2 linked regions of the Neurospora crassa OR74A genome follow. The protein of the gene in region 2 interacts with the protein of the main gene of each other region in a pairwise test. Links are inferred from orthologs where the notes say so. Each region holds a gene or a part of one and is shown on either strand. Other genes may lie near its edges.

Region 1 (4,569 bases), about 780 kb from region 2:
TTTCATCACCTATGAACAAGGCCTGAGTGACATCGACATCCGTCTGGAAACACGCCCACACCACCGACCTGACGTCTGTCTGGCATGGGTAACAAAGAGCGTGGTCATAGATCACCGTCTTGGCTTGGCCCATATCCAGGAGTTATATTCTTCTGATGCAAGCTTGGACGATGCTGCCTGGATGCGGAGCACCGCAGACCGACTTGTTTCAGTCTCTGCCCATCACCGACACCCATTTCTCGACGACTTGCCTTCACCCGCCAAGAAGGTGAAGACGCGCCATCCTTCTACAAGCCCCTCAATACAGACACCTCTGATACCGGAATACGAGGCCAAGGTCAAGGCCTGTCAAGAGTTCATCGCAGCCGGCGACTCTTACGAGCTCTGTCTCACAGACCAAACCAAGATCACTCGGCCCCTGAGCGACATGATCCCGTCATCTGCTCCACAAGAAAATCAAGGACTGCAACAACAGCAACAACAACAACAACAACAGCGAATAAACTCAACCTTCAACCGAAAGCAGCAGCAACAGCGTCGCTCCTCCTCCTCCTCCTCCCCCATCCCCTCCTCCTGGCATCTCTACAAAAAGCTCCGCTCCCGACAACCAGCCCCATTCGCGTCCTACCTGCGCCTCGGCGGCGCGACGCTCGTCAGCGCCTCGCCCGAGCGGTTCTTGACGTACAACCGGCACGGGCGGTGCTCAATGCGGCCGATGAAGGGAACAGTGCGCAAGTCGGAAGCGGTCTCGACGCTCGAGCAGGCAGAGAAGATTCTGCACGTGCCCAAGGAGGAAGCCGAGAACCTGATGATTGTCGACTTGGTCCGGCACGACTTGCATTCGATTTGCGGGGCGGGTAACGTTGAGGTGAGCGATCTGCTCAAGGTGGAGGAGTATCAGAGTGTGTTTCAGATGATTACTGTTGTTGAAGGGCAGCTACCCCCACCCTCTGATGACGAGAAGAGATACACGGGACTGGACGTCCTCGCGGCTAGTCTGCCGCCGGGAAGCATGACGGGAGCCCCCAAGAAACGCAGCTGCGAGCTGTTGCAGCAAATTGAGCAGAACAGTGAGCGCAGTTTGTACTCGGGTGTTGTTGGCTACATGTGTGTCAGCGGCAGAGGAGATTGGAGCGTGACGATCCGAAGTCTGTTCCGGTGGGACGATGAGCGGGTAACTGTGCAGGGACAAGGAGAAGATGGCCAGAGTGAGGAAGAACATGAGGTGTGGCATATTGGCGCTGGAGGAGCGGTTACCATTCTGAGTACCCCTGAGGGTGAGCGGGAGGAAATGTTTACGAAACTCGCTGGGCCGTTGAAGGTGTTTGCGGAGCTGGGTTAGACTCGATGAATTGGTGAGAGACAGAGGGTGAGGGGGGGTTCTATGGCGAGCAGAGCTGGTCTGCGGCCAGAGGCTGTGGAAGAAAGGGAAGACGTGAAACAAAAGCAAGATAACTTCATCATTTTGGGCCCAAGCGTGCGTTAGGGTTAGAAGAACACGATATCCAACATATCTAGGGTGTCGTCTTGGTGTCAAGGTTAAAATGGGTTGGAGTTTTGTGGCTGTTATATTAGCTCAACGGATGCATACCTTACGGCGGGATTAGAAAGTAGACTTTTCAACGCGAAGCATTGCAAGTGGAGAGAAAGAAGACGTCAAGCCCTCTCGCTAGATGATTGATCACGGCATAAAATAACCCCATAACTGTCTCGTAATAATCCAAATCCAGCCCAGCCCATAAGCGCTTCATCAGCCAGTGCCCGCCTCTTTCCCGAAACCCATTTGATCATATCCCATAGCTGTCATCCGGCTCAAGTCCCGGCACTTGTACAATCATGGTCTCCCACCATGCGTAAATCGGTTCCGCACCCAACCGTTGTTCGGAAGTCGCTACCTCTTTGTAGTTCTGTGTCATTGTTGTGTGTGTCTCAGACTCTGGACCATTCTGTCGTAGTCGAAATTATTGGTCGGCTAGTCAGAAGTCTTGCTCTTCCTGGAAGAACATGGCGAAGCTGATAATGGTGCCATAGATCAACAGGCCACCGATAACGGACATGATCATGGCCGGGACCGTGATGATGGCCGAGTTTGCGAGAACAACTGGAAGAGCTGTTTGTCGAAGAGGGGAGGAGAGAGATGTCAGCTACCGTACATGCAACACAACACAAACACAGGATACACGCCAGCCACAAGATGGAGGAGTAAACCTACCAAGTCCCATCATGACCAGGAAACCAGTGCAGAAGCGACCCAGATCCAACACCGCAGCGCCCGAGCTCTCAACAAAGTCGTCCGGATTGGCGCAATGGCTGCAGATCCAGTTGGGTATGGGCGCCAACACGTAGGTGGCCACCACCAGCAGCGGGTAGTATGCCTTCCATAGTGCGCATGACAAGATGACGAGGAGGAAGCCCACCGCCAAGACGAAGGAGAGCGCGATGATGGTCTTGAGTCCTGCTGCCATCTCGGGTGGATATGTGAAAGCTTCTGGTTGCGAAGGCGTTCAAGTTTTGGGCACAGTTGAAATCAGGGCGTCGTTTACGCCGGTAACCCGGAGAATCTGCCCAGGTAGAGTCGGAGTGTCGCGGGCCTGCCGGGATCAAAGGTGTTTGTTGCGCAGACGTGGCTAACTGGTAATCGATGGAAATGTAGTGTAAGCGCTGCCTGCTGTTTTTTGTGATCGAGAACCTGACAAACTATCGCGTGGGTTACTCGGCTTGCGCGCTTCGTCGATTCGTTGCTGTAGCAGGCGACAACTCGTGATGGTGGTGATGCAGTGTGCTTCCAGGTTGTGGTGGAGAGTTGCCCGTGTCGTTGGAGGAGCTCCAGCGAGCGGGAACAAGTGACGACTGCCCGCACTGACGCTTTGGCTGTCGTCAGTCAGCCTCTTCCTGGCTCTCGCTCAGCGCATTCCGTTCCATACCTACCTCTACCTATGTAGCGCGCACCTGGCCGCCCGCACTTACACTACAAGTCCTATAAGGTGAGTACAAGCAAAAGTGGGTCTGACTTTCTTTTGGCGGGCAAGGGAGGTACCTGCAGCGACGTACCAGTTGCCTGCCCGCCCGCGCGTTGCCTGTTCCCGCCCTCCGTCACCCAACATCCATCCTCATTGCCTGGGCGGCGGGACCTGACGAAGCTAGGAGCTGCCTGCGCAACTGCCCGCGGGAGGAAGCAACCACTGTCCACTGACCTCCCCCCATCCATCCCACCCAGACTACCTCTACACCACCACCATCGTCACTATCAGCACAAACAACAATCTTTCGCGTCCTCCAAACACCCGCCAGAAGAAACCGACGAGATACTTGCCGGCAAAAATCCCCGATACCCCCGCCGCAATCTGCTCTTGTTTCCCAGTCTCCTCGATAGAGGTGTCCAGCAGCCATGTTCAGGAACAACTACGACAACGACTCGGTCACATTGTAAGCGAAGCTGTCCCGCAGCCGCCAGCTAGACTGGGGGCCCTGCTTCCAAACGCCCAAAGCTCTGCACTTGACGAGGTCTGCCCTCGACATTCAGCTAACAACTGCTTTCCCTCCAGCTCTCCGCAAGGGCGAATTTTCCAGGTCGAATATGCGGCGGAAGCAGTAAAGCAGGGTTCGGTGGTGGTGGGAATTGCTAGCAAGACACACGCCGTCCTGGTAGCGATCAAGGTACTTCGCCCCGACCACCCCTCGCGCACCACCCTGCCGATACATGTATCCTCCCATCCATCCTAGGGCCAAGTGAAGCTGACCATGTTCCTGTCACTTTGTCCAGCGTAACGCCGAAGAACTCTCATCGTACCAAAAGAAGCTCTTTCCCATCGACGAACATGTCGGCATCGCCATCGCCGGCCTCACCTCGGACGCGCGCGTCCTCTCCAACTTCATGAAGCAGCAGTCCCTCGGCCACCGCCTCACGTACGGCCGCAACATGCCCGTGCGGACCCTTGTCGACATGATCGGATCCAAGGCGCAGATCAACACGCAACACTACGGTAAGCGGCCCTACGGTGTCGGTCTCCTGGTCGCCGGCGTTGACGACCACGGCCCGCACCTTTTCGAGTTCCAGCCCAGCGGCATGACCGAGGAGATGGTGGCCTTTGCCATTGGCGCCCGCAGCCAGATGGCGCGCACATATTTGGAGAAGAACCTAGAGGCCTTTGCCGACTGCGGCCGCGAGGAGCTGATTCGTCATGGTCTCAAGGCGCTCAAGGAGAGCCTGGTGCAAGACCGCGAGTTGACCATCGACAATACCAGCGTCGCCATTGTGGGTGTCGAGAAGCAGGAGGACGGCACGACCAAGCCGCAGCCATTCATGGTGTACGATGGACAAGACGTCAGCGCATGGATAGAGAGTGTGGCGGATAACCAAGAGGCTGCCCCGGCAGCTGCCGAGGGCGAGGGTATGGATGTCGATAGCTAAAGGTTGAAAATGTGGGGTTTGCTTTGAGGCATAGGTGCAGATTTAGCACATGGAGCGCATACACCCGGAATGAAGTAATGAGATGAACAAGTCCCCTTTATGTTAATGCATTGTTTTGTGTCTACTGACATCATGACGCGAATCCCACCGATCAAGCA
Region 2 (4,092 bases):
CGCGGCGAGGCGCTCGCCAAGGGCTTCGTCTACGAAATGGTGTTCAACACCGTCGTCAAGGTCACTTCCCGTCTGAGACAGGTACTGCAGAAGGCTACACTGCCCGAGGCTATGATTGACGACGAGACCATCGAGGCTGAGATCAACGGCATGCGCTCGTTGTTCCGTGCCATTGAGGATGCCCTGTTCGCTTGGGCGTCGGGTTCCAAGGATGAGATGCTTGAGGCCAGCGATGGTCTGGGCGAGGGTGATGGGACCAGCGAGACGGAGAAGCTCGTCAAGAGGTGGGGCGAGCGCTGGCTCAGAGTGTTTAAGCGTAGAGCCGCAATTGAAGAGGCGTTCATTGTCGAGGCTCGGAAGGAGAGGGAGAGGAAGGCGGCTGCTGCTGCTGCGGAGCTAGCGGCGGCGCCGGCACAGGAGGACGATATGGCTGTTGATTCTGTTGATGCGGCTGCTGAGGTAACTGCTTGAACAGTTGTCTCGTATAACTGAATACCTTTTACGAAAGAGGGGATGAGGTTATACTAGAACTCGATGGTTTGAAGGGTTTGTCTTTTTCTCGGGCTCGTATTCAATAAAGGGCCAGCCGATTCAGTAGTCTGGCTGGATGGGGTTTTCATAGCGTTGGGAGGTACATAAAAATGGAAGCTTAGTTCAAAAGATCTGCTTGCGTCTTCGTGCCATTTGGCCATCGATGATGCATGGAAAACAGGTGAGAGTAAATGATGCTAAACATCTGAAACTAGAAACCAGGAGCTGTTGTTCTTGAGATTCTACAGCTTCGCCATAACTTTTTTTTGGGTTGTTTTCCTCTTTGATTCCGTTCAATAACGGTACATAACTTAGCCCTAGCGTGATCCCAACGCAGAATCAATAGCTACCCAAGTGATCCCTCCAACTCAACCATCCGTCTCCCTGGGCGCAAGTTTTCATGGTCCTTCCATATCAATAAAAGTATACATGTCCTGTTCGTTCCACTTCATCCCAACTCATCCAGTTCATAACAATGACGAGGAAAACCGAGTCCTTACATGCGGTTTCCTGATTCGGTGCCCGGCATAAAGACCTATTTTCTCTAGTCCGTAGCCAACCTTACCCTACCTTCCTTCTACTCCTCCTCCAACCCCCAAGTCCCCTCTCTTCACCCCTGCGCCGGACTGGAAGGTACTTCGTCAGACCTGTTTGCTGTGAGGGGGGAGACTTGGTGTCGTAGATCTAGTGCGTGTTTGGTAGCAGTAGGTAAGGCGGGTTTTGGTTTTGGTTTTTTTTTTCTTTTTTTTTTTTTTGTGCCCTTACTGTGGTGTGTATATATGTGTGTGTGTGCGGGCGAGGATCTTCGAGACGAGAAATCGATCATAGCCATACTCCTTTGAAGCGCAACACAACCGAACCGAACCGAACCGAACCGGACCCGGCGACTTACAGCGCGAGGTTGTAAGAGTATTCGTCTTCCATGTTTTGGGAGATCCAGAGGACGACAGCGCTGTTTTGTTATTGAAGAGAGGTTGTTAGTTAGTATGTGGACTTGCAAAGATCATGGGTCCTTCTTGTTTCCTCGTCATCTCCTCTTTACCCTTCTCGCCGCCATCTTTTAACTCTCTCTCTTTCGCATAAACCCCCCCAAAAAGAACCAAAGAAAAAGGAACTGAGGGGATAAGAAAAGGGAAAACTCACCTCAACCCAACCAACCCATTAGCAACCAAGTTCTCCACCCCCATTCTCAAAGCCGGAAACCCAACATCCTTCACCACGTACTTGAGCACGAACACCGTGACACCACCGGCCATACCACCCGCCAGACACGCAAAGCCCAAAAACAGCACCACGCGCGCCTTCCACGCCACACCGCTGCCGCTGTAGGAGAAGCTCTCGGAAGAAAGTCGCGCCTTCTCGACGCTGTTGATGATGAGCATGCCGAGCGTGCTGAAGATGAAGGGCAGCCAGTCGACAAAGTGGATGTGCACGTCCGAGGCGTTGAGGGGGGAGTGGGACCAGACGGCCGAGTCGAGGAGGGTGTAGAAGGCTAGGGAGAACTGGATTTTCATTGCATTAGCGGACTGTACGTTGATATGGAGGAGGATGACGAAAATTATGTATGAACCATAACAGCGAGAGAGGATCATGGCATGGCATGGTATCATGGCAAGGAAGGTCACAACGTCAGGTCCGGGAAGGAGAGAATAGGCGCCAAAGAAAAAGAAAAAAGAGGAAAAAAAACGTACAAAAGCACCAGCAGCATAAACCCCCGCGTTCCTCACCCACGCGCTGTTAAGCCATTCAGGCCTGGAGAATCTAAAGAGGCGTTCTTCCGACATGGTCATTTGTTTGTGTCGTGTTGTTGTTTCTTGTATGTCTTTCTTCTTTCTCTTATGCGCTGGCTTCTACGGTAGTGTCGCAAGCCCAGGGTAGATTTAACTAGGTGACGATGCGATCGCGATTCGGTGTCGGCAGTCGGAGTTGTGGTGGTGGTGGTGGTGGTGGTGGTGGTGGTGGTGGTTATCAGAGCTGAGCTGAGATGCCTATCTGTCGTCCGTCGGTGGTATCGGTCGCCCCGGGTTGTGAAAATGACTGCGCGCGATTGCGGAATCGTCGTCTACCAGTCGATCAATCGGTAGAGTAGTTGTAGTTGACGTGACTGGAGCAACTCGTTGGGCAATGATGCTTTTGGTGTTCCTCTCTGATAGCTCTGTCGTCGATCTGGAACTGGAGGATGACGACGTCCGCACGCCGCGGTGCCAGGCGGGCTGGCGGGCAGGTGCTCCACTGTAAGCAGGGACCTGCTTGTCCAATTACTGTGGGTCGGCCGTCCCAAGGCTGTGGCCTAAGCGTTTAGTGGCACGTGACAGCCTTTGTGGTGACATTGTTGCATGTTAATTTTTGTTATGTTGAATCTGCACCGAACATCGCATGAAAGAGCAAGAGTATGTTTTTACGCTTTGTTGATTCTCTCCCTACCATCCATGTCTATACCCTTCCCATGTAAATACAAAGCACTTGTTCCCTCGACCACCCTCTTCGAACTCCCCCTAATAACAGTCCGAACTTTAAAAAAAAAATCAGCGCCTTCCGAGTTCGATAAATCACTGACAACGGTACCAACTCAGCATCCGAGCGTGAACTTCCTTCCATGTGGCTGACAACCAGCCAACGACAGCACCAGGGGAAGTAAGTAACCACAGTTCCCCTCCAGAAGCCAAGACAGCTTGGATGCAGAAAATAAAGACAGAAAGAGTTATTATGACGCTATGCAGTGTAATAGTAAACAATAGTGCAAAGCTGAAAATGTCTTCTGCGGGCGGCGTCGGGCAGACCACAACAAGGTCCCACCCACCAGTCGAAGTCAAAATGATCCCCTTTTAGTGTACATACAATATTCAAACTTCGGCGATGCAACGAGATTGTCCCTCGAAAACCCCCCTCTCCTTGGCCAAACAGGCGAGAGGACAACGCAGGGAAAACCCCCGCATCATGAAAGAACCCGATTAGACGATAGAGACTAATCGTATGGTGGCGAGGAAGAAGTAATTGGAAGAGAAAGATTCGTGACCTGCCCCTTCATCATGCGATGGCCCTTATATTCGGCCAAGAGAGGACAACTGGCTCGAGGAGGCGTCAAGATATCAGATTAGGGAGAAACATTACACCTTGTCTGACTCCGTGCCCTGCGCATGGTGAGGAAGCAGTTTGCTGGGCCAGCTACTCAATGGTGACCCATGAGTTGACGAGTTCGTTGGGTCGCTTCGATTTGTTCCCTTTTAAATCTCGATATCCTTCATGTCCTCGGCGTCTTCGACTGTCGTTTGCTTGCCCTTTGACTCCGTCGCCTTTCCGTTCGCCTCGGTTTCAGGCTTCTTCTCCTTATCCTCGCTTGTCCTTTCCTTGGCGGGAGAATCCTCATTGACCTTGATATCCTCCTTGCTATGCTCTCCGCTTGTCCTTGGGGTGTTCAACTCCATCAAGTTGTCGGCGGCTTTGGCCTCGAGGGAGGCGTTGCTAGCCGTGAGAGAGGTTGTGGGGGGTGCCTCCTCAGCAACGCGCGCCAATGGGCTTGGCTTTCCGTAACCTGGTCGGATGGGACTCGACATGGGTGAA

Evidence for each region. The genes of interacting proteins can lie anywhere in the genome.
Region 1: the proteins of NCU04188 (region 2) and NCU06713 interact in binary tests that used the Saccharomyces cerevisiae proteins (3 or more experiments, as listed by UniProt). The link is inferred for Neurospora crassa OR74A from reciprocal best matches to the Saccharomyces cerevisiae genes VPS68 and VPS55.

Annotation. Positions count from the first base shown.
Region 1 is NC_026505.1:4,358,649-4,363,217, reverse strand, and holds NCU06713 (vacuolar protein sorting protein 55), read right to left. Parts: upstream 2,959-4,569; 5' UTR 2,466-2,958; coding exon 2,213-2,465; intron 2,111-2,212; coding exon 1,977-2,110; 3' UTR 1,343-1,976; downstream 1-1,342. Other genes in the region: NCU06714 (para-aminobenzoic acid synthetase), read left to right, coding at 1-1,342; pca-6 (proteasome component PRE5), read left to right, coding at 3,389-3,426, 3,546-3,657, 3,764-4,411. UniProt on the Saccharomyces cerevisiae protein: Involved in protein transport from endosomes to the vacuole.
Region 2 is NC_026505.1:5,140,367-5,144,458, forward strand, and holds NCU04188 (UPF0220 domain-containing protein), read right to left. Parts: upstream 2,727-4,092; 5' UTR 2,322-2,726; coding exon 2,223-2,321; intron 2,034-2,222; coding exon 1,675-2,033; intron 1,484-1,674; coding exon 1,420-1,483; 3' UTR 648-1,419; downstream 1-647. Other genes in the region: NCU04187 (cap binding protein), read left to right, coding at 1-471; cot-2 (glucan synthesis regulatory protein), read right to left, coding at 3,756-4,092. UniProt on the Saccharomyces cerevisiae protein: Involved in vacuolar protein sorting.